4 linked regions of the Xenopus tropicalis genome follow. The main gene of each other region encodes a partner of the protein of the gene in region 3 in a complex. Links are inferred from orthologs where the notes say so. Each region holds a gene or a part of one and is shown on either strand. Other genes may lie near its edges.

Region 1 (8,098 bases), on a different chromosome or scaffold from region 3:
AGGAATGTTCTGGGCACACAATAAGCTGTACCCCCATACTGTACTGTCTAAGGGAAACACTATGGCACCCCCTACCCATATGTATAAATACAAATATACAGAGAAGGAATGTTCTGGGCACACAATAAGCTGTACCCCCATACTGTACTGTCTAAGGGAAACACTATGGCACCTCCTACCCATATGTATAAATACAAATATACAGAGAAGGAATGTTCTGGGCACACAATAAGCTGTACCCCCATACTGTACTGTCTAAAGGAAACACTATGGCACCTCCTACCCATATGTATAAATACAAATATACAGAGAAGGAATGTTCTGGGCACACAATAAGCTGTACCCCCATACTGTACTGTCTAAGGGAAACACTATGGCACCCCCTACCCATATGTATAAATACAAATATACAGAGAAGGAATGTTCTGGGCACACAATAAGCTGTACCCCCATACTGTACTGTCTAAGGGAAACACTATGGCACCCCCTACCCATATGTATAAATACAAACATACAGGACAGTGGGAGACCAGGAACCCCCGCCTCCGGAGACATTCTCTGCAGTAGGGATATGAAGAGACCAATCATTCTCTTACCTTTCAAACTGACCAGCGCTTTGGCAGAGGAATCTGAAACAAAGAAAATGAAGAATTGTCTGACTTCAGGCAGATTTAATCTAATCAGCTCATCTATCTGTAGAAGTAACATGTAAGTCTGATGAGGGGGGTTTAAAGGGGAACTTAACCCACAAACTGTTTTTGGCAAAAAAAGTAATTCAAAGCAACTTCCCAATATCCCAATATCAATTGCACTGATATATATATATGCTTAAAACTAACAAAAAGTCATCATTAATATATATATAAGAAACTTGCATAGATTTTTATATCCTTTTCATTTCCACCACAGCCTGGTTGCTAAGGTAAACTGTATCCCCAGCAACCACTTAGCTGCTGAAAAAAAGACCAACTGCAAATTGTCTCATCGTACTGAAAGTTAGGCTACAGAGTGGGAAAATCCGGCTACGGGTTCTGGTCCTACAATGGCAACCTGTCACTCAGTATTTCAAAGGGTCAGTTGCAAGTGCCCCCATGTTCCTATTGGTTTGCAGGGCTCTGGGCCCCGGGGGATGAAGATAAACACAGGGATACAATGGTGTGAGTGAGATATACCCCGCTGTGATTGGCTGAGCCCTAGCAACAGACTGCAGGGCTGGACCATTACTGTGTAACCAACACAAACCCTGCCCTGGGCAACAAGAGAATCTGTGTCTTTTGCACTGACTGGGAAGGTGGCCCTTACAGTAAGTACTGGGGGCCCCATAGCCCAGTGACTAGGAAGAAGGTGGCCCTTACAGATAGTACTAGGGATAGGCTGAGGGCCCCCCAGTGACTGCCATTAGGGGGAAGGCTGGGGCCCCCCAGTGACTGCCATTAGGGGGGGAAGGCTGGGGCCCCCCAGTGACTGCCATTAGGGGGGGAAGGCTGGGGCCCCCCAGTGACTGCCATTAGGGGGGGAAGGCTGGGGCCCCCCAGTGACTGCCATTAGGGGGGGAAGGCTGGGGCCCCCCAGTGACTGCCATTAGGGGGGGGAAGGCTGGGGCCCCCCAGTGACTGCCATTAGGGGGGGAAGGCTGGGGCCCCCCAGTGACTGCCATTAGGGGGGGAAGGCTGGGGCCCCCCAGTGACTGCCATTAGGGGGGGAAGGCTGGGGCCCCCCAGTGACTGCCATTAGGGGGGGAAGGCTGGGGCCCCCCAGTGACTGCCATTAGGGGGGAAGGCTGGGGCCCCCCAGTGACTGCCATTAGGGGGGAGGCTGGGGCCCCAGGACCCTAGGGGGCTGGGGCCCCCAGTGACTGCCATTAGGGGGGGAAGGCTGGGGCCCCCCAGTGACTGCCATTAGGGGGGGAAGGCTGGGGCCCCCCAGTGACTGCCATTAGGGGGGAAGGCTGGGGCCCCCCAGTGACTGCCATTAGGGGGGGAAGGCTGGGGCCCCCCAGTGACTGCCATTAGGGGGGGAAGGCTGGGGCCCCCCAGTGACTGCCATTAGGGGGGGAAGGCTGGGGGCCCCCCAGTGACTGCCATTAGGGGGGGAAGGCTGGGGCCCCCCAGTGACTGCCATTAGGGGGGGGAAGGCTGGGGCCCCCCAGTGACTGCCATTAGGGGGGGGAAGGCTGGGGCCCCCCAGTGACTGCCATTAGGGGGGGGAAGGCTGGGGCCCCCCAGTGACTGCCATTAGGGGGGGGAAGGCTGGGGCCCCCCAGTGACTGCCATTAGGGGGGGGAAGGCTGGGGCCCCCCAGTGACTGCCATTAGGGGGGGGAAGGCTGGGCCCCCAGTGACTGCCATTAGGGGGGGAAGGCTGGGGCCCCCCAGTGACTGCCATTAGGGGGGGGAAGGCTGGGGCCCCCCAGTGACTGCCATTAGGGGGGGAAGGCTGGGGCCCCCCAGTGACTGCCATTAGGGGGGGGAAGGCTGGGGCCCCCCAGTGACTGCCATTAGGGGGGGAAGGCTGGGGGCCCCCCAGTGACTGCCATTAGGGGGAAGGCTGGGGCCCCCCAGTGACTGCCATTAGGGGGAAGGCTGGGGCCCCCCAGTGGACTGCCATTAGGGGGAAGGCTGGGGCCCCCCAGTGACTGCCATTAGGGGGAAGGCTGGGGCCCCCCAGTGACTGCCATTAGGGGGAAGGCTGGGGCCCCCCAGTGACTGCCATTAGGGGGAAGGCTGGGGCCCCCCAGTGACTGCCATTAGGGGGAAGGCTGGGGCCCCCCAGTGACTGCCATTAGGGGGAAGGCTGGGGCCCCCCAGTGACTGCCATTAGGGGGAAGGCTGGGGCCCCCCAGTGACTGCCATTAGGGGGAAGGCTGGGGCCCCCCAGTGACTGCCATTAGGGGGAAGGCTGGGGCCCCCAGTGACTGCCATTAGGGGGAAGGCTGGGGCCCCCCAGTGACTGCCATTAGGGGGAAGGCTGGGGCCCCCCAGTGACTGCCATTAGGGGGAAGGCTGGGGCCCCCCAGTGACTGCCATTAGGGGGAAGGCTGGGGCCCCCAGTGACTGCCATTAGGGGGAAGGCTGGGGCCCCCCAGTGACTGCCATTAGGGGAAGGCTGGGGCCCCCCAGTGACTGCCATTAGGGGAAGGCTGGGGCCCCCCAGTGACTGCCATTAGGGGAAGGCTGGGGCCCCCCAGTGACTGCCATTAGGGGGGAGGCTGGGGCCCCCCAGTGACTGCCATTAGGGGGAAGGCTGGGCCCCCCAGTGACTGCCATTAGGGGAAGGCTGGGGCCCCCCAGTGACTGCCATTAGGGGAAGGCTGGGGCTCCCCAGTGACTGCCATTAGGGGGAAGGCTGGGGCCCCCCAGTGACTGCCATTAGGGGAAGGCTGGGGCTCCCCAGTGACTGCCATTAGGGGGAAGGCTGGGGCCCCCCAGTGACTGCCATTAGGGGGAAGGCGGGGCCCCCCAGTGACTGCCATTAGGGGGAAGGCTGGGGCCCCCCAGTGACTGCCATTAGGGGAAGGCTGGGCCCCCCAGTGACTGCCATTAGGGGAAGGCTGGGCCCCCCAGTGACTGCCATTAGGGGAAGGCTGGGGCCCCCCAGTGACTGCCATTAGGGGAAGGCTGGGCCCCCCAGTGACTGCCATTAGGGGAAGGCTGGGGCCCCCCAGTGACTGCCATTAGGGGAAGGCTGGGGCTCCCCAGTGACTGCCATTAGGGGGAAGGCTGGGCCCCCCAGTGACTGCCATTAGGGGAAGGCTGGGGCCCCCCAGTGACTGCCATTAGGGGAAGGCTGGGGCTCCCCAGTGACTGCCATTAGGGGGAAGGCTGGGGCCCCCCAGTGACTGCCATTAGGGGGAAGGCTGGGGCCCCCCAGTGACTGCCATTAGGGGGAAGGCTGGGCCCCCCAGTGACTGCCATTAGGGGGAAGGCTGGGGCCCCCCAGTGACTGCCATTAGGGGAAGGCTGGGGGCCCCCCAGTGACTGCCATTAGGGGAAGGCTGGGCCCCCCAGTGACTGCCATTAGGGGAAGGCTGGGGCCCCCCAGTGACTGCCATTAGGGGAAGGCTGGGGCCCCCCAGTGACTGCCATTAGGGGAAGGCTGGGCCCCCCAGTGACTGCCATTAGGGGGAAGGCTGGGGGCCCATAACACAGGGAACCCAGGGGCAGGGATATGAGAGTAAGGGACACACACAGCAGGGCGCTGGGAGAAGACAGGGCTGCTGGGACCGGGGGCCCCTGTATAATAACCACCAGCGAATAGAAGGGCCACTCGCACCCCGAGTTCCCGGCAGCCTGCCCGCTCCCTATGGAGCCTTCACCCCGCTACTGACAGGAGCAGCCCGGCTCTCACCTTCTTCCTCTGCCAGCAGCTCCAGCGGCCGAGCCTCTTCCGCCTCATTCCCGGGCCCGGCGGGGCTCCTGACCGATTTCATGCGCTTCATGGCGGCCTCCCAGGGACTCAAGGGCTGGGGAAGCCTCCGCTCGGTTTGAACTCCCCTCTCTGCGCCGCCATTCGGGCTCCGGATCGCGTTGCTGGGCGAGAACGTGACGTCAGTGACAAACAGTGCGTGCGCGTACCCGCCTCAGGCGCCATTTTGTGCGCGGCCAAGAAATCTTACAGGCGCGCCCCCTTCATAGTAACGGGACGGGGTTGCACCGCCGGGTATAGCGGCTCTCACAGGGGCTTTATGTGGGATGGTGGGACCTGTAGTTCGTTAAAAGTGAGGCTTGAAGCTGTTTCTGGACTACAAGTCCCATCATCCCACAGTGGTTGTGTCCCTGAGAGGGGGCTGTGGGGATTCTGTGGAGCATTATTGCTGGAACGCTACTGGCGCTCTGGTATTTACAGTAAAACTCACATTTACATTCCCCGAGGGGTTCCTTATAATATATAGTGAATAAAGTACCCCCTATTGTAACATATAGGGATATTATAAGCCCCCGAGGAGTTCCTTATAATATATAGTGAATAAAGTGCCCCCTATTGTAACATATAGGGATATTATAAGCCCCCGAGGGGTTCCTTATAATATATAGTGAATAAAGTACCCCCTATTGTAACATATAGGGATATTATAAGCCCCAGAGGAGTTCCTTATAATATATAGTGAATAAAGTACCCCCTATTGTAACATATAGGGATATTATAAGCCCCCGAGGAGTTCCTTATAATATATAGTGAATAAAGTGCCCCCTATTGTAACATATAGGGATATTATAAGCCCCAGAGGAGTTCCTTATAATATATAGTGAATAAAGTACCCCCTATTGTAACATATAGGGATATTATAAGCCCCCGAGGAGTTCCTTATAATATATAGTGAATAAAGTGCCCCCTATTGTAACATATAGGGATATTATAAGCCCCCGAGGAATTCCTTATAATATATAGTGAATAAAGTACCCCCTATTGTAACATATAGGGATATTATAAGCCCCAGAGGAGTTCCTTATAATATATAGTGAATAAAGTGCCCCCTATTGTAACATATAGGGATATTATAAGCCCCCGAGGGGTTCCTTATAATATATAGTGAATAAAGTGCCCCCTATTGTAACATATAGGGATATTATAAGCCCCCGAGGAGTTCCTTATAATATATAGTGAATAAAGTGCCCCCTATTGTAACATATAGGGATATTATAAGTTCGCAAGGGGTTACTTATAATATATAGCGAATAAAGTACCCCCTATTGTAACATATAGGGATATTATTGTACAAGTCATGGAACTCCCAAGGTGACTTCTAATATCCCCATATTTTACCACAGAGGATACTTTTTTTTATTATAATATACAAGTTTTAGTGAGTTGTGGCAGAAATTGCATCACTAAGCTCCCATAGGGAAATTACCAAACGGTATATTATATAATAATACTGCCACAGATGAGCTAGTCAGGTTGTATTTTGCCAGATGTTGGTCAGCAATGGACCCATGAGAGCAACACCTGAGTCAGACACCCCTGATATTCTAACAGCCCTGTACCTTGCCAAACGCACCCACATAGTAGGGCAGGGTGATCAAAGTCAGCCAAACTGTCTGGCTAAATATGTAATAGTGATTGCAAAGTTTAATCCAATAGATACTAGGCCGACGTGCATCGTCGCTACACAGATTTTCACACCTCCCCAAAGACGAAGGGTAAGACACATGTTGAAGCTGATGCAGGCTTTATCTGGACATTGCAATAGTCCAAAAACACAAGGGTTTTCCCTTGGTGCCAGTACAATATCCACATTAACCAGCCGCCATTGTCTCTCAAATTCCTCTTCTTTGCCATATCTAAAGGTGGTCGTACATGGACTGAGTCTGCACCTTACTGGCCCATATATGGGGCCGGCTGATGGGCCTGTCTGACCTATATCCGGCGTGTATGATTTTCCAGTCAGGACGAGGACCACATTGGCACATTGATGCGGGAATGTCCCAGACAGTCATTGGCAGCAATTATGATCTGGTCTTTGGCCCAAAGGCCAAGCAATCTGCAAAGTTTTCTCCACATTAAAAGGGTTGTTCACCTTTACGTTAACTTTTAGTACATTTTAGAAAGCCCAGTTCTAAGCAACTTCTCAATTGGTTTCATATTTATTATAGTTTCAAATGACGTGCCTTTTAACTCTTTCCAACTTTCAAGTGGGGGTCACTGACCCCGGCAGCCAAAAAACAATTGCTCTGTGAGGCTATCATTTTATGGTTACTTTTTATTACTTATTTTTCTATTCCAGTCCTCCCTATAAAAATATCAGTCTCTCATTCAAACCACTCCCTGGTTACTAAGGAAATGTGAACCTTAGCAACCAGATAACTGCTGAAATTCCAAATGGGATACACGGAAGAATAAATGATGGGCACCTTCTTTAAAGGGGGACATATTGTATGAAAAACAATTTCATTATATATATGTGTGTGTGTTTCAGGCTGATTTATTGACAATTTCTCCAAAAACCCCAAGTCCTGGCCATCAGTTCCACTTCCTTCTGCCTCATTCCCAAGCTGTGGTTATGGAAGAGCTAAAGGTGTTAATGTGACAAAAAGTAACGTGATTGTAAGGATTTCGGTTCAGTTGGCCAGGAGCATGGATTCAGCCAAATCTGAATTCTGCCGAAAAAGGCTGGAATATTATATTTATATATAGATATATAAATATATCTATATATAAATACAAAATACTCAAGAAAGAACTTAAAGAGACCGTTTCCATTTAGTTTAGCTGCCAGTCTGGAGTGACCCAAATAACAACAGAAGACAGACGGAGAAGAATGGCAGACGGAGCGCATTTATTGGAACATCCACATATCTATGGGATAACGTTACAGAGATATGTCTGTAGGTTACAGTATTGATCCTTACGGTCACATCTTGCCCTATAGCATAACAGTCACATAACAGTGAGCTATCCCTGCGCAACACTATACAGTATGTGTAGCCTACACATAGCGCACGTTAAAGGGGAAATAAAGGCAACTATCAGTACTGAATATAAACATTCATCTTTTGATAGTGTCACGGTTTAACTTTTATTAAACCTGAAAATAAAGGGTTAACATCTGGAAGAATTCTGGAAGAACAATCGGAACGTAAAGACGGCATCTCCAAAAAGCCCTCAAAAAATCAGTAACAGGCGGCCTTCAGGGTCATCTCGTTGTGCACTTGGCATTCAGAAAAGCAAGCAGCAGCCATAGGCCTTTCCATCACACAGCAGCGGCATAGGCAGAGGTACGGGGTGGCGCTATTTTGGCCACAGCCAACAGGTTGCCCATTGGGCTTTAGGAGTCAGTTTCAGGGATGGGCCAGCATGTCCTGGGGAGGATTAATAGAATGCAAGTGAGAGCACTAAGTCAGTTCTAAGTCGTTTCTACTCTGCAGGCAGGGCCATCACCAAAGCAACCCTCCTTTGTCTTTGTAGTTGAACTTCAGCTTCAGCAGGTACTTCAGGTTAACCTGAGCAACATCATACACAATGTATCTGGGGGGGAAGGTGGTTAAGGAAACACACACTTAAAATGAAAACTATCCCCCCAAACAATGTAGGTCTCTATACAAATATACTGCATAAACAGCTCATATGTAAAACCCTGCTTCATCTAAATAAACCATTTT
Region 2 (6,745 bases), on a different chromosome or scaffold from region 3:
TAATTAGATTGACATTTCCCAATCAAATATCTACTTTTGCAATTCTTTTGGTGGGGAGGTCATTGGGGTTAAACCCTTTTACTTAAGCAAAGACCTTTTTACTACACAGAGTCACAAGATTGCACAACTGACCAAACCCTCAGTATGGAAAACACAGCTTCCTCTCGTCTTTCAAGTATAGATACATGTCCACTTCAGTCTTCAGCCTCTTTGGACAACAGTACCGACTTACCAGATCCCTCTACCTCATTCCAGCCAATTAAATCAGATCTCTCAGATGGTAAGAGCTTTGTAGAGCATTTATATAATTTTTGGTATTGTGATTAGGTTATAAGTGCTGTTCAGTCTTTACCATTTGCTATAATTATGTCTTACTGCTCAGCTTTCATTGCAAGTCCTTCCGTCTCCTAGTTATAAATTTACCTGCATAGGTTATCTATAAACCTGCATTTTACAACTAACTGTATATAATGAACCTGTAACGGGCGACTAATCTCCCCATGTGCCAAAGCTTCTTTGAACTCAAGTAGAGGGACTGTCCAGATTTAAATGAATTAATCAGGAGCAGGCAAAAAAGGCACTTGTCTAGGGTGATGGCTAGTCCCATACCTCTTCAGCATTTCTACTGTTGGCTCCAGCCCTTGAGTGGCCTTTTATAAATTTTAAGGCTGTTAATTTATTAAATACAGGAACAAATTAAAATATCTTTAGATTTTTTTATATCAAGAGATGAGTTATGTATGTAAATTTCAAAAACATTCATTTTGTTTTTCCATTTTAGTACTGGAATTACCCAAAGATATATCTGATTTATTTGATCAAACAAAAGGTATGTAATGGTTTTCATTTAATTTGCAATGTCGCATAGGCAAAGGCAGCCTTGTTTAAAAGTAGAGTGAATGTTGCCTTTATATTTAAGATTGTAAAAGGGCTAGTTAAAATGCATCTTACCTCTGCATATCTTATCTCTGAAATAGTGTTCAGCAAAAGCCCCCAATTACATAAATGCAGAGACGCTCCTTGCCTTGAGGAAAAGTAAGAATCTTGCTCAAGCAGCAGTGTGCAGGCAGGTTACCAGGGGTGGCAAAAAGCTTCTGTTTACTTTAAGGGTGAAGACACACCGAGCTACTAATAGCAGCTACTTTTTCACAACTACTAAACTCCAGAAAATACTTTTCCTTAGGAAATAGTCTATTTTAGTAGCTGCTACTAGTAGCTCCGTGTCTTCACCTTAAAGGAAAAATAAAGTCAAAGTCACTTGGGGGTGCCAAAATGTTAGGCACCCCCAAGTGACTTTGACCGCCTACCTTTTACCCCGGGCTGGTGCCCCTGTGAGGAAGGAACAGCACCAGCCCGGGGTAGCTGCCGGCGCTTCCTTTTCCTGATTCGCTGCGCGCGCATGCGCAGTAGAGTGAAAAGCCGAACTTAAATGTTAAAGTCGGCTTTTCACTCTACTGCGCATGCGCCCACCGCTGGCACTCAGGAAAAGGAAGCGAGGAAGACGGAAGCGCTGCGCTCCAGGTGCCCCGGGCTGGTGCTGTTTTCTCCTAACAGGGGCACCAGCCCGGGGTACGAGGTAAGCGGTTAAAGTCACTTGGGGGTGCCTAACATTTTGGCACCCCCAAGTGACTTTGACTTTCGTTTCCCTTTAAGAGCAGAAACTCCATACTTTATACTGGAAATTTTACTCTTCTAGTGTGGAGAGTGGAATCTGTACTTGATACAATATAGATAAAGTGGGGCAGCTTCAGGTGGCATGGGGGCACAAGCAACCCTATATATGTAACGTTCAGTTGCTGCCGAAGGAGACTAACTCAGCTGAGGTGAGCAGTAAGGCACATTTCATCTGTGTGGAGAAGCAAATATGTAACAGGAATATTCATCTCACAGTGAGCTAAAAATGAATGCTTAGAAATATTGTGGTTTGTCCCTGAACATTGACACAATTACTGTTTTACTGTATATAGGCAGACCATGGTTTATCTGAGGGCATGACTTATTAAATGCATGTAACATTCACTCTGTCTGTATTGCTGCTTGTGATGCTGCTTAGCCAAGGAAATAAATATGACCGCTCCTACTTACAAACTTCTACTAAGTGAAATAATGGTCACTGCAAGATATTTGGCTCTGCACCTAAAATATATGTTTAAGTTATATAATGTGCAATCATTTTATTTGCATACACATACTCTTTAACCCTTTAAAAAGAAGTACAGGGCTACTTATAATGAAAAGAAGTAAATCATTAGTGCATCCATGTTTTACAGACTTCATATATAATGTACTTGTCATATTATTGAAGAATTTTGTCAAAATAACTTTGTTCCCTCCCAGAATGCATCACTTCAGACTTGTTGGAAGAATTAATGTCCTCGGAAGGTGAGTATCACTGTTCAAGGCATAGTTTCTTTTATGTTTTCCTAAAAGATTTTTTTGTTAAAATCCCATTAAAAGAAGCAAAAAAAAAAAAAGCATTGTGCCATGATTTATCTAAAGGCATGGCTTTTAAGCATAAACCAGTGTGCCGTTTGTATGTGTCCATATAAGTATTAGCTTGCAGTAAGTACATTTTCACAGAATAATGTAAGGATCTAATGTCTGCTATGGTGTGCCCTTACTCTCAAGTATCTGTGCTCTGTGGTGCTAAGGCTACTGCCATATACAGCAGTTTCTCAGCATGCATATAAGCACAGGCACAGAAACAGTCCCTCCGCTCTCTGCAGACACACTGCAGTTTGTTTATCAACTCTGGGCACTGAAACCTATAGCAGTCAGTTATTGGCTTTTTTTTAGCCAGCTGCAGGTAGAACAATGAATGCAGCAGTTTGATTGGTTGCCATAGGTTACTGCCCACAAGCAAATTTGCCCAGTGGTGAAATGACCCCCAGCGTATTTTAGTGCAGAAACGCATCACTATGCATTTACTGCCTAATCAGCTTCTTGTGTTTGCACCCAGGCCAAAAGTATTGTCTGCAGCTGCAAACACACTATAGAGCAGATTGGAGCCAAGAGGCTGTAAATGCAGGCCGGACAGCTAAATAATGGATGACCACTGCAGAGCTGATAGCAAACATGCTGCAATAAAACTTGAACTTTTGCTTAAAGTAAAGATTTATTATACATATTATATAAATAAGCAGTTCTTCTAGTCAAATAATTAACGTTTTTGGTGTAATTGGCTCTTTAAATTGCATATTCTAAGAGCCGTGGCAGATGGGGAGATTAGTCGCGGGCAACTAATCTCCCAGATATGCCATCTCCACTGACTTGAATGTAAATCACCAGTGGGATGGCATACGTGACGCCGCGGGCGACTAATCTCCCTGTCTGCCATGGCACTTAGGGGCAGGTTTATCAAAATGTGAGATTAAAGTTTACCACTGAAAAAATTACTGTGATTTTTAAAAGTGTGTTTATCAGTGAATGAATAGAAAGTGAATGAGTTTTTTCTGTGGTAAACTCACATTTTGATAAACTTGCCCCTTAGGGGCAGATTTATCAAATCACGAGTTCGAATCCCAAATGGGAAAAATTCGGATTGGAAACGAAAATTTCTGAAGATCGCAAATATCACGAAAATGCTTACGAAAAAATTGTATTAGTCACGATAATTTCGTATTGGTCACAAAATGTGCGTACCGTACAATTTTAAACAGCGGTAAAACCTTTCCAGTTTTTTCGTGCAAGCGTATGGGGAAAAGTCGTGCGGCGTACGACAAAATCGTGCGGACGCCCAAAAAATTCAGCGAAAAAACGCTCTGAGCGTTCATGCCTTTGTTAATGTGCCCCTTAGTGTTGGTATGTAGAATGATGTTGGTTGTATAGGTATAGATTTGTATTAAGATACAGTCTCTCTATATAAATCATATCAGAAGCACTTATGACTGATACCACTGCTGGCCCTGTATGTGGGCACCTGCTTATGCTTGAAAATACTCATGATTTTTTTTTTTTTTTCAGTTTTTGCTCCTCTGCTCAGACTTTCTCCTCCTCCTGGTGATCACGACTATGTCTATAATTTAGATGAAAGTGAAGGAGTTTGTGACCTCTTTGATGTACCCATCAACCTCTGATATTTTGAACTCGGCTTTGGGCCTTATTTGTGAATAAGAACTTTTTTGTTGTCTTTTATGAAGAAATGTTTCTATTTTTGGATATCCGCGTGAGTTGTTACGGAAACCATACCAGAGACATTGCAGTGCAAAAAGACACTTAACTCCTCTCACTGTGAGAATCCGCTCATAACTTTTCCATCCCTGTGATGAGAGGACTGCTTGGCAAACCCTTCATAGAGGTTGTCTGTATTGATCCAGCTTTATTAAGTCCATTACTACATCTGACAGAAGCTTTTCACAAATTTCAAGCACTTAACATTTTTGCTGAAGTACATAATATTTGGATTTTTGGCTGAGTGTGCCTCAGTATTTGGGCTTAGAAGTTCTTAAGTCTGTCCAATAATATAGTAGGTGTGCAGTACCATCCTCCATAAACAAATGGTTTTCCATGCAGTAACCGTAAAAAATAAGCTTGGTTGTCTTTTATTATGCTCTGACCTCACTCACTGCCAAATCGCTGCCAGTCACTGTCTAGCTAATTTACCTAAATGAAAGAAGATGTTGATATGAAATTATTTTTCTACATACATTTGCTGCGCCACATGAACTATTTGTAATTTTTGTTTTCTACAAAATAAACCCGTATTTGCCAGTAGCACTTTAGGGATGTAAAAACAAACACCCAGAGCAGCTGTGTGACTTTGTTGGGGTGAAAGTGGTGAGATTCAATACAAAAGCTGTGCAGTCCATTTTAGTCCAAATGATACACAATGATTGCTGGCACTGGAGTTGTATGGAATTGAATTATATTATAAACTTGTGCTTTAGAAAGAATATTATAGTGTAAAGAGTTACCTATTTATAGTCACTTCTATGACCGAATATACGTTAAGATTGGCATTTTCCTTTGCACATAGCTTTCATATATTTGTAATATGTTAGGTGACATGGTACCATGGAGATATGTTGTTTCTCCCAGACAGAGATCTCCTTGTTTTTAATACCAGTGCTGCTCCACCTGGATCTCAGTCCAACGTTTAAGTAGAATATTAGGACTTAGTCTATGTTGATTTAAATTGATTTTATTTAATATACTGCAAATATATAATATATATAATGTAATTCCAGTGTCAGTAATCAAGGTAAGGAATATACTTTCTGCAAAAGGAGTTCCTTGGCCATCACCTCCTCTGTATGATAGGAGATATTTACAGTGGTGTGAAAAACTATTTCTTGATTTCTTATTCTTTTGCATGTTTGTCACACAAAATGTTTCTGATCATCAAACACATTTAACTATTAGTCAAAGATAACACAAGTAAACACAAAATGCAGTTTTTAAATGAGGGTTTTTATTATTTAGGGAGAAAAAAAATCCAAACCTACATGGCCCTGTGTGAAAAAGTAATTGCCCCCTGAACCTAATAACTGGTTGGGCCACCCTTAGCAGCAATAACTGCAATCAAGTGTTTGGGTTAACTTGCAACGAGTCTTTTACAGCGCTCTGGAGGAATTTTGGCCCACTCATCTTTGCAGAATTGTTGTAATTCAGCTTTATTTGAGGGTTTTCTAGCATGAACCGCCTTTTTAAGGTCATGCCACAACATCTCAATAGGATTCAGGTCAGGACTTTGACTAGGCCACTCCAAAGTCTTCATTTTGTTTTTCTTCAGCCATTCAGAGGTGGATTTGCTGGTGTGTTTTGGGTCATTGTCCTGCTGCAGCACCCAAGATCGCTTCAGCTTGAGTTGACGAACAGATGGCCGGACATTCTCCTTCAGGATTTTTTGGTGGACAGTAGAATTCATGGTTCCATCTATCACAGCAAGCCTTCCAGGTCCTGAAGCAGCAAAACAACCCCAGACCATCACAATACCACCACCATATTTTACTGTTGATATGATGTTCTTTTTCTGAAATGCTGTGTTACTTTTACGCCAGATGTAACAGGACACGCACCTTCCAAAAAGTTCAACTTTTGTCTCGTCGGTCCACAAGGTATTTTCTCAAAAGTCTTGGCAATCATTGAGATGTTTTTTAGCAAAATTGAGACGAGCCATAATGTTCTTTTTGCTTAAAAGTGGTTTGCGCCTTGGAAATCTGCCATGCAGGCTGTTTTTGCCCAGTCTCTTTCTTATGGTGGAGTCGTGAACACTGACCTTAATTGAGGCAAGTGAGGCCTGCAGTTCTTTAGATGTTGTCCTGGGGTCTTTTGTGGCCTCTCGGATGAGTTGTCTCTGCGCTCTTGGGGTAATTTTGGTCGGCCGGCCACTCCTGGGAAGGTTCACCACTGTTCCATGTTTTTGCCATTTGTGGATAATGGCTCTCACTGTGGTTTGCTGGAGTCCCAAAGCTTTAGAAATGGCTTTATAACCTTTACCAGACTGATAGATCTCAGTTACTTTTGTTCTCATTTGTTCCTGAATTTCTTTGGATCTTGGCATGATGTCTAGCTTTTGGTCTACTTCTCTGTGTCAGGTAGCTCCTATTTAAGTGATTTCTTGATTGAAACAGGTGTGGCAGTAATCAGGCCTGGGGGTGACTACAGAAATTGAACTCAGGTGTGATAAACCACAGTTAAGTTATTTTTTAACAAGGGGGGCAATCACTTTTTCACACAGGGCCATGTAGATTTGGAGTTTTTTTTCTCCCTTAATAACGTAAACCTTCATTTAAAAACTGCATTT
Region 3 (8,009 bases):
GTTTACAAATTATCAACAGCTTAGTTTAACTTAAGTTGGTCAGGGTGGGAGTGAGAAAACTGTTTTGAAAGAAGGTAAAATGTTTTAGGAAAGCCAATTATTTCCTTAAACAGGTAATGTTTCAGTTTATTCTTCCCCCAGGACAGTATATTGAAGGCTTAAGGCTGCTGTACACATTTCAGCTTTGTACAGTGTCTGATTGGCCTTTGGGTTAGATAGATACTGTATAACAGTGATCTCCAACCAGTGGCTCATGATCAACATGTTGCTCCCCAAACCCCTTGGATGTTGCTCTCAGTGCCCCCAAACCAGGTAGTTATTTTTGAATTCCTGACTTGGGGGCAAGTTTTGATTGAATAAAAACAAGGTTTACTACCAAATAAAGCCCCCTGTAAGCTGATGTGTGCATAAAGGCTGCCTAATAGCCAATCACAGCCCTTATTTTGCACCTCCATGAACTTTTGATGCTTGTGTTGCTTCCCAAGTCTTTTTACATTTGACTTGGCTCACGAGTAAGAAAGGTTGGGGATCCCTGCTGTATAAGATGCTATGCATAGTATGGCCACGTTTGCACTGTTTAGACAGCCTGAACAGTTGAAGTAAAGAGGAGTTTAACAGGCAAAGGTGGGTTTCTCTTACCTCCCAGGAAGCAGCTTTGCTATTTCAGCCCAGCGATTTCCCAATACTTTATGGGCTTGGCATATAATTCTGTCCTCTTCCTCTGTCCATGAGGACTTTTTCACTTCTGGATTGAGGTGATTGTGCCATCGTTCGCGGCACTGTTTGCCCATGCGGCCTTTGAGCTGCTTAGCAATCAGGGTCCAGTGTTTGGTGCCATACTTCTTCACTAATTCTATCACCTAGAAAGAATTATCAGAGGTAGACAAAGTTCAACGTAAGCCACAAGGATGTTGAGCTCACAGCATCCCTCCAAAGACTACAAAAGAATTGTAGTTTATCAGGGCTGCCACACCAATAATAATATGTATTCCCCTATTCAGATACCTCACTTCATACCTTCTCATCTTCCTCTTTTGTCCATGGACCCTTAACCAAGTCAGGATGAAGAACACGAAGCCAGCGGTGCTGACATTGTTGTTCAGTACGATTCTGGAGGAAAAACAAAAATGTAAACACCTTACTAAAACATTAAGACTAAGGAACAAAAAGACAGTGCTTATTGTACTAAACCTTTGCTCACACCAAGTAGTGCCATCCGATGTCTAACAGCGCTGAAAGGGCATAAACACCTCTCCATTAAGCCATAAGATTTCTGGGTTCTATTTTCCCTTATGGGGAAAGGCATAACCAGCATATACCCTAATATGGAATTAAGATGTATAAAAGGGGGTAGTAATGGAAATAAATGTTAACAAGAAATAGGGAGTTTTAAGTGTACATAGACTAGCTCGTCATCAGTTCAGAAAGTGTCCCCTGATCAAAACAGCCATAAAACCATTGTAGGCCAAAGGTAACATCTGCCCAGGGCCAGCAAATCAGATATACTTTAACAGCAGAAGACCTACTTTATATGAGGTTTTTATCCTATTGGTGTATGTTGAAGACACCAACTGACATTTCACACATTTTTGCCTAGATGTCAGCCCTAATGCAGTCGTGCACCAAAAGAATCACAAGCTGATGCTGCTTTAATGCCCAGTGCCAGAACCGATGCAGTTCCCATGACTTGCACTTGATTTTTATATGCGCAATTGCTTTAGCTTTGTCATGTTGGGACAAATGCAGTGGCTACAACTCCCAGCGCTGTTACAGTTGTGTAGGGATTCCAGCAAAAAGCTGCATTGCGGATAAAAACCAAATAGGAAAATTGCACTTGCTCACTAAGCTGCGTTTCTATAAGACTTATAAAGCATGGTGAAATGTAAGATTTACACTGAAGGGATGATGGAACTTACAGTAAGGTTACTGGCAATCACCTTCCATTCACTCTGTCCATGCTTCTTCACCAAGGCTTTTAGCGTCTCATCCTAATGAAACAGAACAAAATGGAAACAATAATTAATACCTTACTGGGGGAAACACGGACGGGAGCAATTTTTACGCATGACCTAATACTGGGGAGTGACATCCCTGTACTATTTTATGTAAATAGTATCACCAACATATAAGACCCCCAGAGGATGACAGAGATGTCAGTCACAGTAAGAAGTCCAAAGACCAGCACTGGAGGGACAGAAGGGTTCTCATCCAGCCCTAGGCAAGAGATAAGGACTCTGGATTGTATTGCTCTAGCAATACATCTAATTGCATACTGTACCTCTTCTGGGGTCCACTTCACTTTGACCCTGCTTTCCTTTGGCTCCGGGACATCAGAGTCTGTGTCCTGATATTGCAAATCCTCAAGATCATCTCTGTATGGGTTAAAGAAAAAATTATTATTAGTATTTAGTCAACATGCAACAGTGTCCCAGAAATAAGCACAGGTTCAGCATATGGAAAGAGGCAGCATTACTCAAAGCACCCAGGGAATAGGGTGTCTGTTAATCTAGCAAAACAAGGATTAAAAAAAAAAAAAAAAAAAACCAGGGTGCCATGAGGGTGGCCACTACTCCAAATGCGAAGGTCGAACTTTCCAGCAACCCCTCTCCAGCTTGCTTTTGGAGATATCACATAGGGGCTGGGTCAACTAGAAAGGGGGGTGGGGTGGAATTCAGCTTGGGAAAGCAAAGGATCCTACATGTGGCACATAGCTGGGACAGAACACAAGGTTACAGGCAGAAACATGAACAAAAAAAAAAAAAAAAAAAAAAGAGAAAACTGTGCACTAGGGAAGTCATCCTTGGGTTTTACTTAAGCGTCTGATAAGTGCATTATATTTCTGTAAATGCAGTCAATGTAGGTGGGTTGCAAAGGGGAGAAGTGTGAAGGTGGGGGAGGGAGTTGTAATCAGCATGACATCCTGAGGCACCTTTACACAAAAAGTGTAGTGTTCCTAGATATACAAGAAAGAAATTACTAAGAATCTAAGGAAATATGGCCGACAAAAACTTCTTTCTCTTTAAGAAGGGTTATAAATGAGGAGCAGAGACAGGCAAACAAGCACAGGGAGGCTGCAGAACGTGGCGCTCAGCTGGAATGGAGCACTGAGAGAGCAGGGACAAACCCAGCTGGAGAGTCACAAGTTAACCTCCTGGCGCAATAAGACAAAAGCCAAAACAAAAGGGGTCGTTGGGGGCCAGCTGTGCACAAACATAGCATTACTGAAGGTCTGAGAAGTACTGGGAAATGTGGGAAGCACAGGGAGAGAAATATGGGGTAGTAGGGCAGATATGCATGCCCTGAAGTGTATGGAAAGCCAAAGGAAAACTCTCAGAGGGAGGACAGTGGAAGCTTCATAGGAAAGTGCAAATGGGGGTGGGGGAGAGCGGACAATGGGGCAATGCACGGAAGCCCACTCGGGGTGGACATGGAAAGTCCTTATGGGGAGACAGAACAAGGGAAGTAAAGAGAAGGCTAGAAAGATAATAGACAAAAACAAGGGTTGGCAATACTAGCTGGGGAGAGAGCTGAGGGGGCAACAGTGATGGGCAGCTGGGGAGAGAGGTGAGGGGTGACAGTGATGGGCAGCTGGGGGAGTACAGGGAAGGGCAGACTGGGGAGAGAGCTGGGGGGTAGAGGGAAGGGCAGACTGGGGAGAGAGCTGAGGGGGTAGAGGGAAGGGGAGACCGGGGAAAGAGCTGAGGGGGTACAGGGAAGGGGAGACCGGGGAAAGAGCTGAGGGGGTACAGGGAAGGGGAGACCGGGGAGAGAGCTGGGGGGTAGAGGGAAGGGCAGACTGGGGAGAGAGCTGGGGGGTAGAGGGAAGGGCAGACTGGGGAGAGAGCTGGGGGGTAGAGGGAAGGGCAGACTGGGGAGAGAGCTGGGGGGTAGAGGGAAGGGCAGACTGGGGAGAGAGCTGAGGGGGTAGAGGGAAGGGGAGACTGGGGAGAGAGCTGGGGGGTAGAGGGAAGGGCAGACTGGGGAGAGAGCTGGGGGGTAGAGGGAAGGGGAGACTGGGGAGAGAGCAAAGAGCCCAGCTGTGGAGAGAGAAGCAGTAGAATAGTTTAGCTATAGTTTAGGCATGTGGAACCGACAGAGAAGCCCAACTAGACAGGAAAGTCCAGAATGGGGGAAGTTAGTAAATCCAGAGAAGGCCAATAGGTGAGAGCCCGGCAAGGCCAGGGCAGAGGCAAGGCCAGGGCAGAGGCAAGGCCAGGGCAGAGGCAAGGCCAGGGCAGAGGCAAGGCCAGGGCAGAGGCAAGGCCAGGGCAGAGGCCAGGGCAGGGGCAAGGCCAGGGCAGGTGCCAGGGCAGAGGCAAGGCCAGGGCAGAGGCAAGGCCAGGGCAGAGGCAAGGCCAGGGCAGAGGCAAGGCCAGGGTAAGGGCGATAACACAGGGCAGGGAGGAGGCGCAGAACTGAAAGCGCAAAGCAGACGCCCAGTGACTGGCACCTACTCAAAAGTAGTAAGAAAAGGCCGCCGGGTTCTAAAGTAGTAGCTGTGCCCGTATGTGCAGCCCCACTGCCCCACCCGTTAGTGCCAGGCTCACCCGCGGGCCCGCCGGGACATCCTGCCGCTCCGGACACTTCAGTGCGCAGTCTGTGGCGGTATTGTTATTTCCTATCTCCCGCCAGCTGCGCACGCACCCACAGAACTCCCTTTCCGGGGCGGAACCCACTCCCTGGGCGGGGCCTACAGCCCATACGGAGGCGCTCTAGGTGCCTGTCACTTCTATATGTGGGGAGGGCCATGCGTCCGGTTTTAACCAATGAACAGCAAGCGCACTGATGTCAGCGATTTCCCGGCGACCAATCAAAGCTAGAAATGAGGGACAGCTTCTGGCGCCTATTACGTTTTGTAACAACCCGAGTGACAGAGGATTCTAAAAATTTCCAGACTAGACAGTCATTTCCTCTTAGTTTTGGCGACGGTAGCGTTAAGCCATGCATTTTAAGTGGGGTTTACGCTGACATCACCACCTCAGATTTGCTATGAGTGTATAGGTTTTTGAACATTAAATTTGAACTGCTGCCTGGTTACTAGAATGGGAGTTCCCTAGCAACAAACATAGAAGTATAATAATAATAATGAAATGGAACCTTCACAGTCAGTCTGTTTTTCAGTTACCTAGGTAACCTTGACAACTAAGCAATTGCAGGCTGGAAAAAAAATAGAATGGAAATATAAATAAAACAAAAAAAACCTGAAATGTTTATTAGGTACTTCTACAGGACTGCCATTGGCTGGCTACAAGTGGTATTGCTGAGGGGGGGTGGGGTATGTGCTCAAATATAACCTCTCCTGAACCCAGTCTGAGCAGCATGGCTTAGGAGTGACTGCCCAGTAGTGGAAAGAACCCTCAGTAAAGGCAGAAATTATATCACTTTCCCTTCCACCCTCTGCAACTGGGAACAGGGGGAGCAAAATGGAACTTCTATATGAGAGAGAAGACTGGGGGAAACCATAACTGAGATGGAGGAAGGTTATAAAGTAGACAGTGAAGATAAATGGAGAGGTGTTAGGTTAGGAAGACGTTATGGGGGTACAGCAGGGATGTCTCTATAACAAATACAAATTTAATGTAACAGTTAACATTCCCTTGAAACATGGCTCTCACATTCCTCAGTATCCAGCATCCCTATGAGCTGGTCTGGCCTAACAACTACAAGTGAGGAATGGGATAATTGGATAATGGGTGGGGTCACAAGGCGAGATTGATTGGCTACTTAACCTCCTAAAACACTATATAAAAGGCTACTTGCCTGGAAGCCAGAATAAATCATTTAGAGGAAATCTATCAGGGAAGGTAAGTGGCTGCACAAAGGGAATCAAGTTGGTGGTGTGTCGCGTAATTGTTACTAGGGCTTAGTACAAACCCATATTGTGTTGCTGTGTGAAGGTGCTGGCATGTTTAGTAATTTAACCATTTTGTTGGCCAGGTGATTAACAGAGACATAGATAGGTGCTGAGATGCTTGCCATTCATTTGAATGCCAGTTGGCTGTTGTATGCACAAATGGCTTTGGAAGCTGAGATGTTTTATATGTTTTCCTTTGTCTGTTTTGGGTAAACTTTGTTGTTCTTTGTTTAATATGTTGGAGGCAAAAATACATGTTGGAATATTTGACTTTCATCAAGCAATATGCTGTTTGAGGGGACCAGGACTGGGATACAAAATATGTTCCAAGTACATAGAGACCCAAACAGCCCCCTTATGGCATCTTACAGCAGCCCCACATTTGTCTGGATCTACAAATTACCAGTCTGCGCCTGGACTGGCCTGTGACTTCCCAATAGTAAAACTACTACAACAACATAGACTTACTCACATTCCCTGTTCTGCAACCCTACAACAGGCATCCCTTGCAACATTTCCCATTTAAAGAATAGTAACAACCTGCTACACCTGCAGTGATTTTTCACACTTGGGAGTATTGTGTGTTGTTATCCTAACTGCCCTAAGCCAATTCTAACTAATTGAATGCTGTGGGATAGTTGGCAAAGCCCTACAGGGAGTGCTTATATACAAATCTCTTAATCATATGTCCTTTTTAGAGGTGTATAATAGTGGGATTACTGGAGCCTGGTTCCTTCTGGCTTCCAACTGTTATCCCAGCCTACTATCCGTAATAAATATTACAATAACTCTCCAGACCTAATCTATTAGACTTGGCTTTCCTGCTATTGTTAGTTTGCCCTTGATTGCTACTCATTAGATATAAGAGTGGCTTTACAGAGTGCTATGTCTTTTTAGTATGAATGAACAATTAAGTGAGAGCTTTGGCCATTCGCACATCTGCTATGACCCCACTGAGGTGCCAAGATAAATGATAGATCGTAGGACAGTCTCTTAATGCCCTCAGGGTTGTGGCTTGTGCCCAAATGGATACCTGCTGTACCAAATATGTTCATGTGTGCTCCCCTATCATAAGTTACTTAAGCATGGGTTTCCTCTAATTCTTGGTTTCAAAAATAAAATATGGTATCTAATATCCTACTGCTTTTTCTTAATTGATAGGTTTGAGAGAAGCCTAAAAGATGTCTATCAGCTGGGACAGCAGTGGTATCAGTTTCCTTATGTCCAGCTCCAACCTCACATTGACCGAGATCATGGACTTGGGATTTGTGGCCACAGCTCAGAGTAGCTCTTCTCCTTGTTCCTCGGGGATTGAACTGTTGGATCAAAGAACCCGTCCCAAGCCCGGTGGGTCACCATTCCTGCTTAAGGTTTCGGAGTCTAGCCCTCTTGTAGGTGGAGAGAAGCAGCGAATGACTGTTGAGGAAATCGTGCCCTGCCTCAGCAGGTCTCCATTCCCACCACCTGACGGTCAGGTGTTTGAACTGTCTGCTTTAGCCCCAGAACCACTAAGTAACTCTATTGTTGGGGTATTCTATGGTGCAAAAGTGTCAACACCCTATAAGGAAGAGGCCACTGATGCAATATGCGTGGACATCCAAGTACCTAAACTGCAAGATTCAGAGATGGTGGTCCAGGCTGTTGGGGTGCAGAAGCCTTCTGTACCACCAATATGGGAGCTCTCTGAGATCAACTCTGCTTTAGAGGAGAACACTCCAACTCTGGATGTTTCTGTCTCTGACTTGAGGTTTACAAGTAGCTCTGACCGAGACCAACCTTCAAATCCACAGGTTCCAGCTTCTCAATGTACCCAGTGGGTTGGGGTCACTCATAAGGATGTGGGGCGCTCCTTTTTACAGCCATTCCGCTACCAGCGCCAGCTTAGTGCCTCTGAAATCCCAGTTACCTCAAATACCCCCTTGCTCCATTCCTTCCATCTGTCTGCCGATGAGGTCGGAGGGGAGTGGCATCTGGAGGTGACCACCTAATCCTTGTTTTGACTCTTAATATCACTTGCTTGTTCTGCAGACAAACCTTGTAAACTTCCAGAATATTTCTGATTGCCACGTGCTGTTCAATACATTACTTCTCATGACTATTTTCTTATCTATCTGTACAGGACTTTGTATGTTATATAAATAAAGAATAATCTATT
Region 4 (7,901 bases), on a different chromosome or scaffold from region 3:
CATTTACCTAATTCATAAACACATGGGCAGTTTTGTGTGTGGTAAAAGAGGGCAAAATGTAAGGTGACCCCTGAAAACCATATATTTTTAGAAAGTATTTTAGAAAGTAGACAATCTGCAAAGCTTTCTGCGTCATTTCTGAAAATCACCTAAAAACATTGCAATTTGCCGTATTTATCTCACACAATTTTTTTCATGCAATGGCAAATCACCCTAAATAACAACCCCAGGTGTCTAGTGGACAGTGTGATGCCCAATATGCATAGATATACCAAAGTCTGTGGTATACTGACCCCAAAATGAAAATTATGCATATGGATTTCTCGCCTGCCAACTCAGCTTTTGCATACAGAGCCCCATGACAGTGTATTATGTGCCGTAAGACCCCCTTATTATACAGAAACCTTTGAAAACCATATATATTTAGAAAGTACACATTCTGAAAAATCTAACGTGGGTAAAGACACATTTCTACACCAAAGTACCAATCTGCAAAGCTTTCCTAAATTAGCATTTTTATGACATTTCTGAAAATCGCCTAAAAATGGTGCAATTTGCAACATTTCTTACATACAAAGGTAAACCCACCAATTATGAATGCCAAAGGTCTACTGAATAGTTTGCCCAATATGCATAGGTTTACCAAAGTACGTGATTATGTATGGACCCCTAATAAAAGTAATGCATATTAATTTTTTCACTTGCCAACTCAGCTCCTGCAAACAGAGGCCCCGACTGCATATTATGTGCCATAACACCCTAAAACTGTACAGAAAACCCCAGAAAACCATATATTTTTGAAAAGTACACATTCTAACAAATCAAACACGGGTAAGGACATCTTTCTACACCAAACTACCAAACCACAAAGCTTTCCTAAACTTAGCGGTTTTGATGACATTTCTGAAAATCACCTAAAAATGTTGCAATTGACCACATTTATCTCACACAATTTTTTACATACAATGATAAATCATCCTAAATATGAACACCAGGGGTCTACTAAACAATTTAATGCCCAATATTCATAAATTTACCAAAGTATGTGGTTATGTATGGACCCCAAATAAAAGTAGTGCATATGAATTTTTTCACCTGCCAAGTCAGCTTCTGAAAACAGAGCCCCTGACTGCATATCATGTGCCATAAGATCGCCTAACTATATAAAGAGACACTCAGAAAACCATATATTTTTAAAAAGTAAACATTCTTACAAATCCGAAACAGGTAAAGACGTCTTTCTACAGCAAATGGCAAAGCTAAAAAGAATGCTAAAAGAAATGCAACAAACAACAATGAAAGGGTAAAAGTCAAAAAATGAAATACAATTAGGCAAATCAGTGACATAACAAAACTATTTTACAGCATGGTTAGCGGTCAGAATACCTGATCCAATGGTCACGCTGTGAAATAAATATTTTTAGGGGAAAGACAAAATAATAAAATAAGGAACTAAAAAAAAACAAAAACGTGTGTCTGTATACACCTCTAAAAAGTGTGTGTATGTGTGTATATGAAGTGTGGAAATATGTGCAAAAGATAAAAAAAAAGCAAAAAAAAAAAAAAAAAGCTACCTTTTTAGTGAGGAGGGTCCTTTCAAACGATGAGGGTCCCTAGATTGCAGGGCGGACTCAGGGAGGTAGTAGGAAGAAGCTCTAACAGCAGACACGAGTGCGACCGTTTCTGGTGGTAGAAGTCGGGCCCTCCAACAATCGCGTCACAAGACTGACTTGGCTCGTTACCTAGAGGTTTGGGCCCTTGAACGTATGTGATATATGCTTGGCAGTCAAAGGCTTTTTCTGCAACATGTATCACATACATGCTTGGCAGGAAAAGCGTAAAACCTTACATATGTTTCTTGTAAATCCTTATTTCCAAGCAGTGCTGAGTCCCCTGGGCAACCTGGTTGGCTTGGCCCGCCTTATCCCCCACGTGGGCGCGCGTGCACACACAGGGTGGCGGGGTTGCCGGGGCCACTGGCGGGGGGGTACTACAGTAGGGGGGGGAAAGGGCCCGGAACTAGTGGTTGGTGAAAGAAATACCACCTGCCTGGCGCGGCCACACCGTTGCGCCATAGGCAGGTGCCTCTTCTGCCTACCCATGCTTCCAAGTACCTTCAGTTCCTGAAATCTCTCCATCCCCACCTTCCATTTGATTGATAGAGAGTGTACTGTCTGTAAAAAGAGCTGCCCTCTGATTGGAGAAGCTGCAAGCAAAAAAATCCAATCAGAGTGCAGCTGGTAACAATGGTATCGGACCTTGCAGGAATGCAAAGAGCTTTCCACTTTTTAATTTAGGTGCCAGACAGGTTTGGAAAGGGTTAGCCTTCCCTAGACTTAATGAAAATCTACCCATTGATTTATCTAGGGTTGAACTGGGCGGCCGGGGCACCAGGAACAAACCTGGTGAGCCCCTGCGGCCCCAACCCGATCCCCGCAGGGTGCGCCACAAATCCTCCGGTCTCCCTTCCCTGATGCGCTGCAGGTAAGTTTAATTTACAGTTACTTACTAGTGAAAAAGTATTCCATCCCACATTTGAATTTGTAGGTTTATTGGTGATGGCGCACAAAAGGAGGGATATGTACAAAACAAACTCATAAGAATTAAGAGGGAACTATAGATCTGCATAAAATAGTACTATACTATATCTGAACTATACCTAGTTCAGATTAACACAAAATATTTTCAAGGTATCATATTTCTTTTAAAAAAGGAAGAATATACAGCACTTCTCTGCTTTAGTTACTTGGATACAGTGTTAGAATATAAATAACACAGTCTGCAAGAGCCCTAGTAATTAAACAGCTGAATTGCTAAGGTCCACATATCTCCAAGGAGACTGCATTAAGCTGCTCCTCATCACAACCAAAACAAACAGCAGCCATCAAGTCAAAGCTGCTAATATACAGCATGTTAATATATATATATACAGGTAGCATAACTCCAAGTTTAAGTTAGCTGGTATAATGATCTGCACTACGCTCAGTTAGATGAGAATACAGTAAGTAAGCACTCCATATAGCTTGTCAAAAGGATGTGAAAATAACTAGGCAGATTTCTCAGCTTATAAAACACAGAAATTCAGAGTTGTGCAACTACTGTAAATACCGTGTTAATCATTTTTAATTATCTTCCACAAAAAAAAAAATCAGAAAGATGTTAATTATTGTACACATCCTCCAACAGCCTCATGTGTCAGTCCCTCCCTGAACCTTTAGATCTGTGATCCCCAACCAGTGGCTCGTGCGCAACATGTTGCTACCCAACCCCTTGAATGTTGCTCCCAGTGGCCTCAAAGCAGGTGCTCATTTTTGTATTTCTGGTTTGGAGGCAAGTTTTGGTTGCATAAAAACCCAGTATAATGCCAAACAGAGTCTCCTATAGGCTGCCAGTCCACAGAGGGGGCTATTAAGTAGCCAACCATAGCTCTTATTTGCACCCCCAGGAACCTTTCGTCATGCTTGTGTTGCTCCCCAACACTTTTTCCATTTGAATGTGGCACACAGGTAAAAAAGGTTGGGGATCCCTACTTTAGATTGTAAGCTCATGCAATCAGTTCCTTCTTGTCTCCTGCCCCGCAAGGCACTTTTTTGTTACCGTTTTGTACTTATTAGCGATCAGAATAAAGTCATAGCTATGACAGACTACTGCACTCCACGTCCATTTCATCCCTTCCCGTATCTGATAAGGAGCTGTAACACATGCAGCATAGGCATCCAGGTGAAATGCTAAATAATGTGAAATAAACTAAAAAAAAGCAATGAAAATATTTTCTGGGATGCAAAAACCTCCACAGCGCACTACTACAGTTATTTGCTAATAAGCCAAAGCTTGCAGCGACGCTGTTTGTTTTTTTTCCAGTCCAGTTGTTACTGTACTACCATACCCAGCATGCCCTGTAGCGGAGACTGGGAGAGCAGAGTAGCACCAACAGCAGTAGGAGGGCCGCAGGTCAGGCATTCATCAAGCCCATGAAAAAATAGAATTTCTCACCTCTAGAGTATAATTCTGGCTAATCCTACTGTAATACTCCCAGGCCTCCCCCCGGGCCCTCTCATCCATATTAAGGCTGCTGCAGAGTTCGTCATAGCGGCAGCGCAGCTGTTCTTCTGCCTGCTTGCCTTCCCCTTCTTCTTCTTCCTCCTTGATCATCCTCAGACCTTCCAGTTGCCCGGCTATGTCCCCTCCGCCACCCGAACGGTGCACTTCCACATCTCACACTGCGCAGCCATTTAAATGGCAATGACTGACAGCAACGCTTTGATATTCTCGTCACCAATTAGAAAGGCCTACTAGCGTAGGACACTGTTCTTCTAATATAGATGGGGAAAATGCGTAGCGTAGCCCCGCCCAAAACAACACAGAGGTCGGCCTTTTCCTTTCCTTATCGCTGCCGATTGAGATACTTGCTAGTTCCTGCTAGTCTCTTACTCTGTTCATAAACAACATAGCAGCATCCGCCGCCCTATTCTGTTAGTACGCGTGCGTTATGTTCCTTCCTGAAAAGAAAGTTTTAGTTCAACTAAGCCCCACTGTTCCTATATGTAAATACTTTCTTTGGAGGAGGAGGCCATCCTGCTTTTACGCTTTCTAAACTAACACTCACGTTTTCCTATATGGGCTGTGTCATCTTTACTTCACAGGGGGTCCAAAATGAGTGAACAAATCGACTTGAAGGAATGTCACAGTATCAATGGCAATTACGGGGGACCCAGCCCTTTATGAACATATCCAGTAATTTGTATGATTCATAAAAAAGAAAATAATTTAGAAATGCAATGCAATGTTTGCATTTAGGACATAACATGTTTTACCAACATTCACATCTTAAATGCTATGGGGATCATAATAAGTAAAAAAAATTACAGGAATTCATATATTCGTCTTTCTCTATTAATAACGTTGGCATCAAGCATAATTTATTACTGGGAAGGCGGGTAAAACACTGGACAGGTGGCAACCCTAGTCAACAGGCCCGGATTTACAAAGAGGGTGCACCCTAGACCCCCGTCTCTGCAGTCATGTGCATGCCCACTTCTATAGTCAGTGCGTGGGGCATTTCTCTAGTCCTTCAGTCCAAATTTAGAAGCAGCAGCTGGTCTGCATGTTGCCCTAGGCCCTGGCCTTTGTATAAATCCAGATCTGCTACTCAGTACTTTTCACTTATCTGAGGGGGGGGGAGCTGGAGGAAGTCGCTGCGGTGGGGGAAAGCTGAGGGGAGCCAGAGGAAGTTGCTGGGGGGGAGCTGGAGGAAGTCGCTGGGGGCGAGTTGGAGGAAGTTACTGGGGGTGGAGCAGAAGGACAATGGGGGTGAGCTGTGCACATGCAGCGGGGAGCCACAGGAAGTTGCTGGGGGGGAGCTGGAGGATTCTGATGGGAGCTGGGGGTAGCCGGAGGATGCTTGGGGGGGGAGCTGGAGGATGCTGGGAAGGACTCTGGGGGGGAGCTGGAGTATGATGTGGGGGTGAGCTGGAGGATGCAGGGGGGCCCTGGCTACCAATGTTTTAGGGGGGCCCTGGCTACCAATGTCTGTGTGTCCTTTGTACTAATGGGAGGGAGCATTGGGGGGCAGGGCGTGAGAGGAGGGGGGCCCCGTGATTTCTGATGGCAGCCCTGAGTGTATGTACATGCCTGTCATGGGATTTTATTTGTAAAATTGGATAACTTTACATTTATTGGTACAATGACTTACAGCAAGGGACCAGATACATCAAAAAATGAAAGCACTGAATATAATACATTTTTACTGTAGAATAATATTAATAGGAAAGTGAATGCCTAAAATACTTATTAAGCATGTCACATTTACACAACAACCTTACTCAAACATAAATGGTCAGTACATTAATGGAATGATGATGGTCTCTTGACATATGTCGGTGCCAATGGCGGACCTAAGCCTGAGGGCACACCAAGGTAAGCAGCCACCCCAAACATGCCCCCCGTTTACCTGACCCAAGGGTTCAGACGTCTGAAACTATGGGAAGACAGGGAGAAGAGGTAGGTGCTTGCACCCCCCATTTTTGCATCCTAGGCACATGCCTCTTCTGCCTGCCCCTAGTCAGGCCCTGGTTGGTGCTTTAAATAATTATTTTAGGGTTGGTACATCATAAACCACTGAGGGTACAAATTCTGGAACGCTGAAAGGTCCTGGCTGGCCCAACCTTTAAATACAAATAAGTTCATGCACTCTACAAATTATACTTATTAAGCATTGTTTATGTGCTTTTTATATTATGCATTTTAGTTGCCGCAGACTTTCAATAAAATATTTTACTGTATATTCATGCTGCATATAACCTTTAACACAATCACCATACCTTGAGCCATCACCTTAGTAGTGGAAGTTTTAGATTAGTAAGATGCACATCATCAATTATCACCCTGTGCTGGTAAAAGTTGTATGTTGCCTACTTCATTCGGCAACATATTATAGATTTTAAGGCAATGTGATACACTGCCTGATGATACACTATTTGTGACACTTGATGTGTGTAATTTGTACACCATTATCCCTCTGGACGAGGGGATTACAGCATGCAGGGAGGCACTTATTGATGGACACAAGGGGTCTCCGCCAATTGAATTTTTGTGCTCTCTGTTGCAGTTGGTCTTGACATGTAACTATTTCAGAGTTTTTACCTACAGCGGACTGGCACGGCGATGGGCTCCAATGTGGCCCCCTCATACGCCAATCTATATATGAACTCCTTTGAATGTAAATATATCTATCCTAGATATGCAGACAATTTGTTGCTATACCGTAGGTACATTGACGATATGTTCATTATTTGGCGTGGGGACCAGATTGGGGTCGAATCGTTCGTGGCCACCCTGAATGATTTACCTACTCCAGTAAGGTTTACTTTAAATCAGTCAAAAGATGTGATTGATTTTCTTGATGTTAGGATTTTCCGTACACCTGTGGGGGTGGGGACCACATTGTTCCGTAAGAACACGGATCGGAACACTGTTTTGCATGCCCATAGCTTCCATCCACCTATGGTGATTAAATCTATTCCTTACACTCAATTCTTGAGAGTATTCAGGATTAATACGGATCCCGTAACTGCACTTCAAACAAGCTAATGAGATGCGGGACAGATTTCTTGAGAGGGGATACTCTATTGACTTTTTGAATGCTGAATTGAATAAGGCAAAAGAAAATCTACTTAAAGATGATCCTAGGGGCACACGGCCAGGAGACCAATCGGATCGGATGGTATTTGTGAGTGACTTCACACCGGTAAGCCATGATGTTGAAATGGCTATTAAAAATCATTGGCCAATTTTACAATTGGATTCTGGTTTGCCCTTTACTAACATGCCACCTCCAGTGTGTGCATATCGACGTGGACGTTCACTTCGTGACATACTGGTGACATACTGGTGACATAATGGTGACAGATTTAAAACCGGAGATACCAGACACATGGCTAAGGAAGAGTAAACCTGGTTGCTATCGATGTGGTAATTGCAAAACTTGTGGTTGTCTGATCACCGCAGTGACATTTGCTCATCCACACTCCGGGAAAAAGTATCTGATTAGACATAGACTGACATGTATTTCGGAATATGTGATATACTGCATTATGTGCCCTTGTGGCCTTTACTATATCGGTAAATGCTTCACAGCTTTTCGTACAAGAATGAATAATCACAGGTCGGTGATTCGTCTGGCCCTGGCATCTGGGAAATCAGATATTCCACTGGCCCGACACTTTGTACAGTGCAAACATTCACTGCCTATGCTGAGAGCAATATTGATTGATCATATTCCCCCCCTTGCACGGGGTGGAGATAGATCCAAGCTACTGCTGCAGAGGGAGGCCCAATGGATCCGGAGACTTGACACAATTGCCCCTAGGGGATTAAATGAGATGCTATCATTATCTTGTTTT

The links.
Region 1: the proteins of mybl2 (region 3) and lin9 are in contact, whole or in part, in a crystal structure (PDB 6C48), measured with the Homo sapiens proteins. The link is inferred for Xenopus tropicalis from reciprocal best matches to the Homo sapiens genes MYBL2 and LIN9. Residues at the interface, in NP_002457.1 of Homo sapiens: Trp663, Ala667, Cys668, Gly669, Gln674, Met677, Gln678, Ala681, Arg682, Leu684, Leu685, Arg687; in NP_001353174.1 of Homo sapiens: Lys356, Gln385, Arg386, Tyr388, Ala389, Thr390, Val392, Leu393, Leu395, Glu396, Asn399, Leu402, Asn403, Leu406.
Region 2: mybl2 (region 3) and e2f4 share a complex: the UniProt entries of both Homo sapiens proteins name them as parts of the DREAM complex. The link is inferred for Xenopus tropicalis from reciprocal best matches to the Homo sapiens genes MYBL2 and E2F4.
Region 4: mybl2 (region 3) and rbl2 share a complex: the UniProt entries of both Homo sapiens proteins name them as parts of the DREAM complex. The link is inferred for Xenopus tropicalis from reciprocal best matches to the Homo sapiens genes MYBL2 and RBL2.

The regions. Positions count from the first base shown.
Region 1 is NC_030681.2:8,013,294-8,021,391, reverse strand, and holds the start of lin9 (protein lin-9 homolog), read right to left. Parts: upstream 4,625-8,098; 5' UTR 4,438-4,624; coding exon 4,347-4,437; intron 630-4,346; coding exon 597-629; intron 1-596. Other genes in the region: parp1 (poly [ADP-ribose] polymerase 1), read right to left, coding at 7,874-7,964. UniProt on the Homo sapiens protein: Acts as a tumor suppressor. Inhibits DNA synthesis. Its ability to inhibit oncogenic transformation is mediated through its association with RB1. Plays a role in the expression of genes required for the G1/S transition.
Region 2 is NC_030680.2:76,510,618-76,517,362, reverse strand, and holds the end of e2f4 (transcription factor E2F4), read left to right. Parts: intron 1-109; coding exon 110-280; intron 281-781; coding exon 782-829; intron 830-2,337; coding exon 2,338-2,382; intron 2,383-3,963; coding exon 3,964-4,076; 3' UTR 4,077-4,737; downstream 4,738-6,745. UniProt on the Homo sapiens protein: Transcription activator that binds DNA cooperatively with DP proteins through the E2 recognition site, 5'-TTTC[CG]CGC-3' found in the promoter region of a number of genes whose products are involved in cell cycle regulation or in DNA replication.
Region 3 is NC_030686.2:39,922,391-39,930,399, reverse strand, and holds the start of mybl2 (myb-related protein B), read right to left. Parts: upstream 4,709-8,009; 5' UTR 4,568-4,708; coding exon 4,548-4,567; intron 2,373-4,547; coding exon 2,279-2,372; intron 1,989-2,278; coding exon 1,917-1,988; intron 1,111-1,916; coding exon 1,018-1,110; intron 861-1,017; coding exon 640-860; intron 1-639. Other genes in the region: uncharacterized protein LOC733539, read left to right, coding at 7,036-7,842. UniProt on the Homo sapiens protein: Transcription factor involved in the regulation of cell survival, proliferation, and differentiation. Transactivates the expression of the CLU gene.
Region 4 is NC_030680.2:49,458,935-49,466,835, forward strand, and holds the start of rbl2 (retinoblastoma-like protein 2), read right to left. Parts: upstream 4,378-7,901; 5' UTR 4,153-4,377; coding exon 3,994-4,152; intron 1-3,993. UniProt on the Homo sapiens protein: Key regulator of entry into cell division. Directly involved in heterochromatin formation by maintaining overall chromatin structure and, in particular, that of constitutive heterochromatin by stabilizing histone methylation.